Linked DNA regions of Oryctolagus cuniculus. The protein of the gene in region 2 purifies or fractionates together with the protein of the main gene of each other region. This does not show direct contact. Links are inferred from orthologs where the notes say so. Each region holds a gene or a part of one and is shown on either strand. Other genes may lie near its edges.

Region 1 (3,648 bases), on a different chromosome or scaffold from region 2:
GGCACTGAGTAACCAGTGGAGAACGAGACCAGGGGCACCTCCTTCCACGGAGACTGCCACGCTGGCCGTCCAGACCAAGCCACAGCAGAGTAGGACGTCGTCCTGGTCGCTGCAGACCGCTGGGCACGCTCGGTCGCGTGTGTGCTTGCAGGAGGCAGGTGCACTCGTGGGCCTTCATCCTCTCAGTTCTGCCAGGCAGCGCTGTTGAGAAGGCGAGCAAGACAGGAGCTGGCACAGCAGCCTTGCCCGGAGCAGAGAGGCCTCTCGGGAGAAGGAGGCACCCACGTGGGCGTCACCTTGTCTTCCAGGCCGTCTGGGCTCCCAGCTGGTTCCTGCGTGACCACTAGAGCTCACACTGGTGCGGGGCAGCACGGAGTGTTTCTCCCCATTCTCGCAAAGGCTCCACCAGCTGGGGGTGGCGAGTGGGGCAGGAAGGAGGGCTTGCAAAGGCTCCTTCTGCCTTGGGGTGATCAGGAGCAGCTGTGGCAGGGAGACCCCCTCCCCGCCTTGCCCTTGGTGACCCGGCCCCTGAGAAAGCAGGCACCTCTGTCCCGCGGCAGCTCGCAGGAGAGGCGGCCCAGCTCCCTCTGACCCCTAACTCAGCGTGGTTGCCTGGTGGGGTTGGCCCCAGGAAGGAAGCTGTCTGTGCACAGAATTCGTGAAAGCTGGCTTCAGGAGACGGCCCTTGTCAGCAGCCTCTTTGGCGTCCAGAGTGGCGTGAAGGGGCGTCGTCGGCAGGAGCAGCGGACAGTAGGCGCAGGATCCTGATGCTGCGGACACCGAGAGACTCCCCGCCCCAGGCTGTCTGCTTTTCATTCCTCTCGCCTTTTTAACCGGGTCCTTCCCTGAGCCCCTGCTGGAGTCACCAAGGGCGTCTTCTCCTCACCCCTTCCCACACGCTGTAAGGAGGTCTTCGCAGAGCCGGCGGCAGTCAGCGAGGGAAATACAAAGGAGTCGGAGAAGGCAGAGGGAGGAGCTGGCCTTGGCCGCCCAGTGCCTGCCCGCGGGCACGCCATCGGCCCTCCCCTTCACTCCCACAGCAGCCTCTGCTCACCGCGCGCTCGAGGCTCAGCCAGTGGAGACGCTGGCCGAGGGTGCACAGCTGCGGGGGCTGGGCTGCACACCCCTGCTCTGCCCCTGCTCGCAGGCCCTGCCTCCATGGAACCATTCCCATGACCTCCTCTTCCCCCCACCCCCAGGTCACCATGGAGCAACAAGTACGACCCTCCATTGGAAGATGGGGCCATGCCGTCCACACGGCTCAGGAAGCTGGAGGTGGAAGCCAACAATGCCTTTGACCAGTACCGAGACCTGTGAGTTTCGTGCCCCTCCCGAGTGGGCAGGGCGGGGCGCTCCTCAGATAAACAGATAATTGGGTCAGTGTGGAGGTGACGGGGGCGCACACCTCCCGGGGGGCTGCTCCTGCTGCTCCTGGTTCCCAGCGCCTGCTGTGTGAGACACAGGTGTCTCAGACCTGTCCTCTCCGGCAGGTGGAGCCCCCGCATTTCAGGGGTGAAGAAATAGACGTGCGTCCAAGGCAGGGCCAGGGCTGCAGCTCTGTTTTTACCGAACCTTGCGCCACGTTCTGCCCGGCAGCCCAGGGCCCTGCTCGCCCGCTAGTTGCCAGGGCAGCGTGAGTCACTGTCCCGAGCTGGCTGGACCCCGGCCGTCCCTCTAAACGGATGTGCTGGATCCCGAGCTGTGTGACCCCGGCCCATCACAGTGTCCCCTGCCCCCCAGCACCGCCCCACATGGGAGCAGCCTCTCACTCAGGCGCTCACCCTCTGGCAGGGTCTGTCCCGCGGGTCCCAGCACAGCCGTGACGTCCGTGACGCTGAGCAGAACTGCTCAGAACGGAGTCAGCGGCTCCGTGAGGGACCAGGCAGCAACATTTTAGGCTCTGCAGGTCTGTTAAGGTCTCTGTTGCTTATTCTTTGTTTCCTTTTTACCTGCAAACCCCTTTAAAAATGTAAAATCTGCTTCTCGAGCCTTGAGGCTGGTGGGATGTAGCCTCAGTCTGTAGCCTCCCCTGGTGCAGGAAATGGGCAGGAAAACGGAGACGAGAATGGAAGCGCCTGAGCAGGGGTCCGCGCTCTGCAGACGCCGCCATACCTTGAGTGTGGTGGTCCGCCCTCCCCCGATGCCGCCATACCTCGGGTACGGCGGTCTGCACTCCGCCGGGTGGGCAGCTGGCGTGGCTGACTCACTTGGGGCACTTCGCTCTAGCATTTTTTTTTTTTTAAGATTTGTTTATTTGAAAATCAGAGTTACAAAGAGGCAGAGGCAGAGAGAGAGAGAGAGAGGTCTTCCATCTGTTGGTTCACTCCCCAAATGGCCGCAACAGCCAGAGCCATGCCAATCCAAAGCCAGGAGCTTCTTCCAGGTCTCACATACGGGTACAGGGGCCCAAGGACTTGGACCATCTTCTGCTTTCCCAGGCCGTAGCAGAGAGCTGGATCGGAAGTGGAGCAGCTGGGTCTCAAACCGGCGCCCATATGGGATGCCAGCACTGCAGGCCAGGGCGTTAACCTGCTGCACCACAACACTAGCCCACCCTTTTTTTTTTTTTTTTAAGAGTTGTTTGTTTATTTGAAAGTGTTACACAGAGAGAAGGAGAGGCAGAGAGAGAGAGGTCTTCCATCCGCTGGTTCACTCCCCAAATGCCCACAAAAGCCAGGGCTGGGCCAGGTCAAAGATGAGAGTCAGGAACTCCATCTGGGCTCCCATGTGGGTGACAGGGACCCAAGGACTTGAGCTGTCACCTGCTGCCTCCCAGGCTGCACATTATCAGGGAGCTGCATCAAGCAGGGGAGCTGGGAGTCAAACCCGGCACTGCGGCGGTGCAGGTTGCAGGCGTCCCTGGGGTGGCCTAGCCAGCTGCACCACAGTGCCTGCCCTTGCACGTTCAGTAAAGCTTTTACTTTAGACAAGAGGAAACACGACACTTCTCTGACAAATTCCCTCACTACACTGACATGCCAGAGCTGTGTCCGTCACATGCTGCATTTTACATGGATCGTCTGCTTTGATAATTTTTTTCCATTGAGAGAGCAAGTATTCCCATCACTGGTTTATTCGGGGGCCTGCGATGGCAGGAGCCAGGAGCCAAGAACCCAGTCCAGGTCTCATCTGTGGTGGGGGAGCCCGGTCCAGGTCTCTTCTGTGGTGGGGGAGCCCGGTCCAGGTCTCTTTTGTGGTGGGGAACCCGGTCCGGGTCTCTTCTGTGGGGGCGGGAGCCCGGTCCGGGTCTCTTCTGTGGTGGGGGAGCCGGTCCAGGTCTCTTCTGTGGTGGGGGAGCCCGGTCCAGGTCTCTTCTGTGGTGGGGGAGCCGGTCCAGGTCTCGTCTGTGGTGGGGGAGCCCGGTTACTGGAGCCATTCATTGCCTGTCGCTTCCCAGGGTCTGCGTTAGTGGGAAGAGAGAATCGGGAGCAGAGCTGGGAGTCACACCCGGGCACCCGGGCACCCGAGGCGCTCAGATGTGGGTTGTGGGCTTTATTATTTTCCCCATTTTGTTTGGAAGGCAGATAGATCTTCCATCTCTGGGTTTGCTCCTCAAATGCCTGCAGCAGCCGGGGCTGCATCCGCTTGAAACCAGGAACCCAGAACTCCATCTGGGTCTCCCACGTGGGCAGCAGGTGCCCATCTGCT
Region 2 (3,748 bases):
AAGTTGCTTTCATAGGTGTGTTGCTTGTTTTGCTTTTTTTTTTTTTTTTTTTTTTTTTTTTTTTTTTTTTTTTGACAGGCAGAGTGGACAGTGAGAGAGAGAGAGACAGAGAGAAAGGTCTTCCTTTGCCGTTGGTTCAACCTCCAATGGCTGCTGCGGCCGGCGCACTGCGCTGATCTGATGGCAGGAGCCAGGTACTTCTCCTGGTCTCCCATGGGGTGCAGGGCCCAAGCACTTGGGCCATCCTCCACTGCACTCCCTGGCCACAATAGAGAGCTGGCCTGGAAGAGGGGCAACCGGGACAGAATATGGTGCCCCGACTGGGACTAGAACCCGGTGTGCTGGCGCTGCAAGGCAGAGGATTAGCCAATTGAGCCGTGGCACCTGCCTTGCTTTTCTTTTTTAACCAGGACTACAGGGATGGAGCATTTGTTCCTCTCTGCTAACAGTCCTGAGATGGTTTCTGGGCCTATTAATACAAAATGCAGTGAATTGAATGCCTTTCTTTATCGATTATCTATTTCATTTTCTTTTGTCTTAATGGGAAAGCAGAAAACATTTTGATAACTAGTGGCTAGCATTGTCAAACAGCAGGTTAAGCCTCTCCTTGGGATGCTGGCATCCTATATTGAAAGCCAGGTTGAGTCCTGACCCCTGCACTTCCCATCTAGTTTCCTGGTAATGCTCCTGGGAAGGCAGCAGAAGATGGCCCAAGTACTTGGGCCCCTGCACCCATGTGGGAGACCCGGATGGAGCTCCTGGCTTCAGCCTGGCCCAGACCTGACTGTTGTGGCCATTTGGGGAGTGAACCAGCAGATGGAAGACCTCTCTCCTCCTCTGTCTCTCCTTCACTCTTTGCCACTCTGCCTTGCAAATAAATAAATAAATAAATAAATAATCTTAAAACAGTTTTCCTGTCTCCATGCAGCTTTTATTAATAAAAATGCAGCTATCACAAATTCTATTTTGGTAAACCTTTACGTTTTTTATAAGACAGAATGTTCAACTGACTCACTTGTGAATTATCTAAGTACTATGATTTAGTTTTCTTTTTCTTTTCTTAAACTCAATTTCAAACCATGTTTCACGTGTTCCTCCCCATGTTTTTTAGTTTTTTTAAAAGACAGCTGTAACTGGGTACTGAATCTTCACTTCTCAAGTCATTTGCAGAAAATGTTTTTACTCCTAAAATGAGATTTGACACCAAAGTTATGTTTCTGGGCTACCACCCCTTAGCCATCTTTTGGATGAAGGAATGTAAAATAATTTTATTATAAACAGAAACAATGTGTACTCTCAAATATAAATCTTTGGGTAGGAGAACAAATAGCTTTGCAAATAAAAGATGGGGATTCTCTTTTGTTCTGTTTAATTTCACTAAGCTGGATTTAACTCTCACTCAGAGGTCTCTGGATCCCAAGCTCAGCAGAGGTAGGTACAGGACTGAGCCTAACAGAATCAAAGAGGATTTGCTGTGTGATGGGAGGTCACAGTAGATGAATGCAGAGACTGTAGCTCGTGTTTTCCTCCATTTGTCAACCGCAGAAGGGCAAAGAGACGGCTACACTATGCCACAACCCAGTATCACAAGACCTACCTCCTCACACACTGTCGAAAAGCGGTTGAGGAACTGTACAGTGTGCACCACAAACTGGTTAAGAAATGCCACCGTTCTTTTCTGTTGAATAGCTGGCACCTGTGTTACGTAAAAACAAACATGATTTGGCAGGAGGAACGTAGATCGCCCAATCCCTTCAGACATCATAGCGGAACATTTTGCCGTGTGATATGAATTTCTTGGACTACGAATAGTCATTAGCTTGTTTTCCCAAACTGTGGGTGGGGTGTCACCTGCAGAAACATTTTTACAACGCGCCCTAGATTCACGAGCACGGATTTTTAGCAGGTTAAACCAACATATATAAATACACAAAACCTGGGATTAGATAAAAGAGAGGTTAAAGGTCGCAACCAGTCTGTCTCCGGCGGGCAATGACACAGGAAGTGAGAGCTCACAGAGGACCCTCATCAACTAAGTCAACTCGAGAGGGTCCCTCTTCAAGGAAAGTGATTGTGGCACTCAGCCTCCTAAGTCAGCCGAACAGGGGCCCAGGGCCAAGATAGGGCCTGGAGAAGTGGGGTCTCCCGGGGAACCGGACGTCCCTTCCCCAGCCCCCTCCTCCCCAGTCACCGGAAGTTCATCTCGGTCTTCTACAAACCTTGGTCAGGTCTATGCCCGACCCCATGAGTGGAAGCCCATCCTCATCCATCTCCTCGGCGGGCGGGAGGACCCAGGCTCACCCACACACCCCTCCCAGAAGGGCCCCGCCCAACCCGGTAATCGCGTCGCAACACCTCCTCAAGTCCCCGCCTCCGTGGCCCTTCCCACCGGAAGGAAACCCCTCCGCTCGCCAATCACAACCTCGGCTCACGGAAAGCCCGCCCACTTTCGCTCGGCATTCTGGGGCGGGTAGTTCTTGGTCTGGATTGTGACGTTGGTCGGGGACTCGGGCTGCAGCCTTTCTAGCAGTTAACTTCTTGAATGTTGGGGTGAGGGGTGGGGACGGGGCAAGCGTGGAAAGTACGATCAAGAATTGGCCCGTTTGAAATGATCCCTACTTAGCTCTGTCTGTTGTATAAACAGTGTCATTGGTTGAACAATTTTTTTTTTTTTTTTTTAATCCTACTACGCGCTAGGCCTGCGCGGAATACAAAGATTGAGTCAGCTTGAGTCAGCACACTGAGGAGGCTCCTGCTCTGGAGGAGGTAAGACCTGTCTCCAAAGACATTTAACACTGTGATAAAACCATGGCAAACGCTGCCGGTGAGGCGTAAAATATGCAGGGTGCTCACCCTGTAGCAGTGTCGTCAGAAACGCGCTCACAGTGTTCCGGAAAGACCTTGCACCTGGAATTTGAATATCTTGGCCCAGATTTTGACCATGCAAAACGATTTTCCAGCTCTGCAACGTGGGGCAAGTCACGTAACCAGAATTTGGAACCCAGTCAAGGTGGTCCCTACCGAGAGACGAAGACTTCAAGAACTGTATATGGTGTAGGGAAGACACACATAGCAGAGTTAGACGTGCAAGCAAAATACTGTGAAAGTTGTGGGTGAGCAGAGAGGCACACGCAAACACTTGTGTACACCTGCATCCTCTCGGAAACAAAGTGCTGTGGTGCTACAGGGGAAAGGTGCTCCTGGGTCCTCTGAGAACATTGGCCACGGCAGCTGTTCAGCACCCATGTCACATTAGGAGATGGTAGGCAGTTTGTGGTAGACCTTCGGACAAAGGCAGAGAGGTGTGAGGGGGTTTGGTACATAAAGGAAATGCAAAATTTTTGCTTTTGTGGAAGCAGAAAGTCCCAGAAGTGGAAAAAAGTAAGAAATGAGGTGGGAAAAAAGGAGAATCTCAGTGAAGGCCAATTTTTATACTATGATCTGTGTTGCTCTAAGTGTCTTAGAGATTTCCTGCTTTAATTATTTAGGAGTGGGTGGTACTTCTGAAAATGTACATTCCAGCAATTGATTAACCCCAGATAAACTACATCAAGACTTATGCTGAATGAGTCCAGAAATTTGCATTTTAACTTGTCCCACCATCCAGAATTATAAACCAAAGGCTTGCAAATAAATCTTTTTTAAGGTTTAACAAACTTTTATTTTGTTTTAAAAAATTAAAGAATATTTTTTAAATTTATTTTTTAAGGAATACAAATTTCATAAGTACAACTTTAGGAATATAGTT

What was found. The genes of interacting proteins can lie anywhere in the genome.
Region 1: the proteins of WASHC3 (region 2) and CAPZB purify together in Homo sapiens (co-immunoprecipitation; 4 studies listed by BioGRID and IntAct, with this or other methods). This does not show direct contact. The link is inferred for Oryctolagus cuniculus from reciprocal best matches to the Homo sapiens genes WASHC3 and CAPZB.

The regions. Positions count from the first base shown.
Region 1 is NC_091438.1:151,225,493-151,229,140, forward strand, and holds part of CAPZB (F-actin-capping protein subunit beta), read left to right. Parts: intron 1-1,199; coding exon 1,200-1,313; intron 1,314-3,648. UniProt on the Homo sapiens protein: F-actin-capping proteins bind in a Ca(2+)-independent manner to the fast growing ends of actin filaments (barbed end) thereby blocking the exchange of subunits at these ends.
Region 2 is NC_091442.1:105,008,584-105,012,331, forward strand, and holds the start of WASHC3 (WASH complex subunit 3), read right to left. Parts: upstream 2,391-3,748; 5' UTR 2,271-2,390; coding exon 2,220-2,270; intron 1,697-2,219; coding exon 1,598-1,696; intron 1-1,597. UniProt on the Homo sapiens protein: Acts as a component of the WASH core complex that functions as a nucleation-promoting factor (NPF) at the surface of endosomes, where it recruits and activates the Arp2/3 complex to induce actin polymerization, playing a key role in the fission of tubules that serve as transport intermediates during endosome sorting.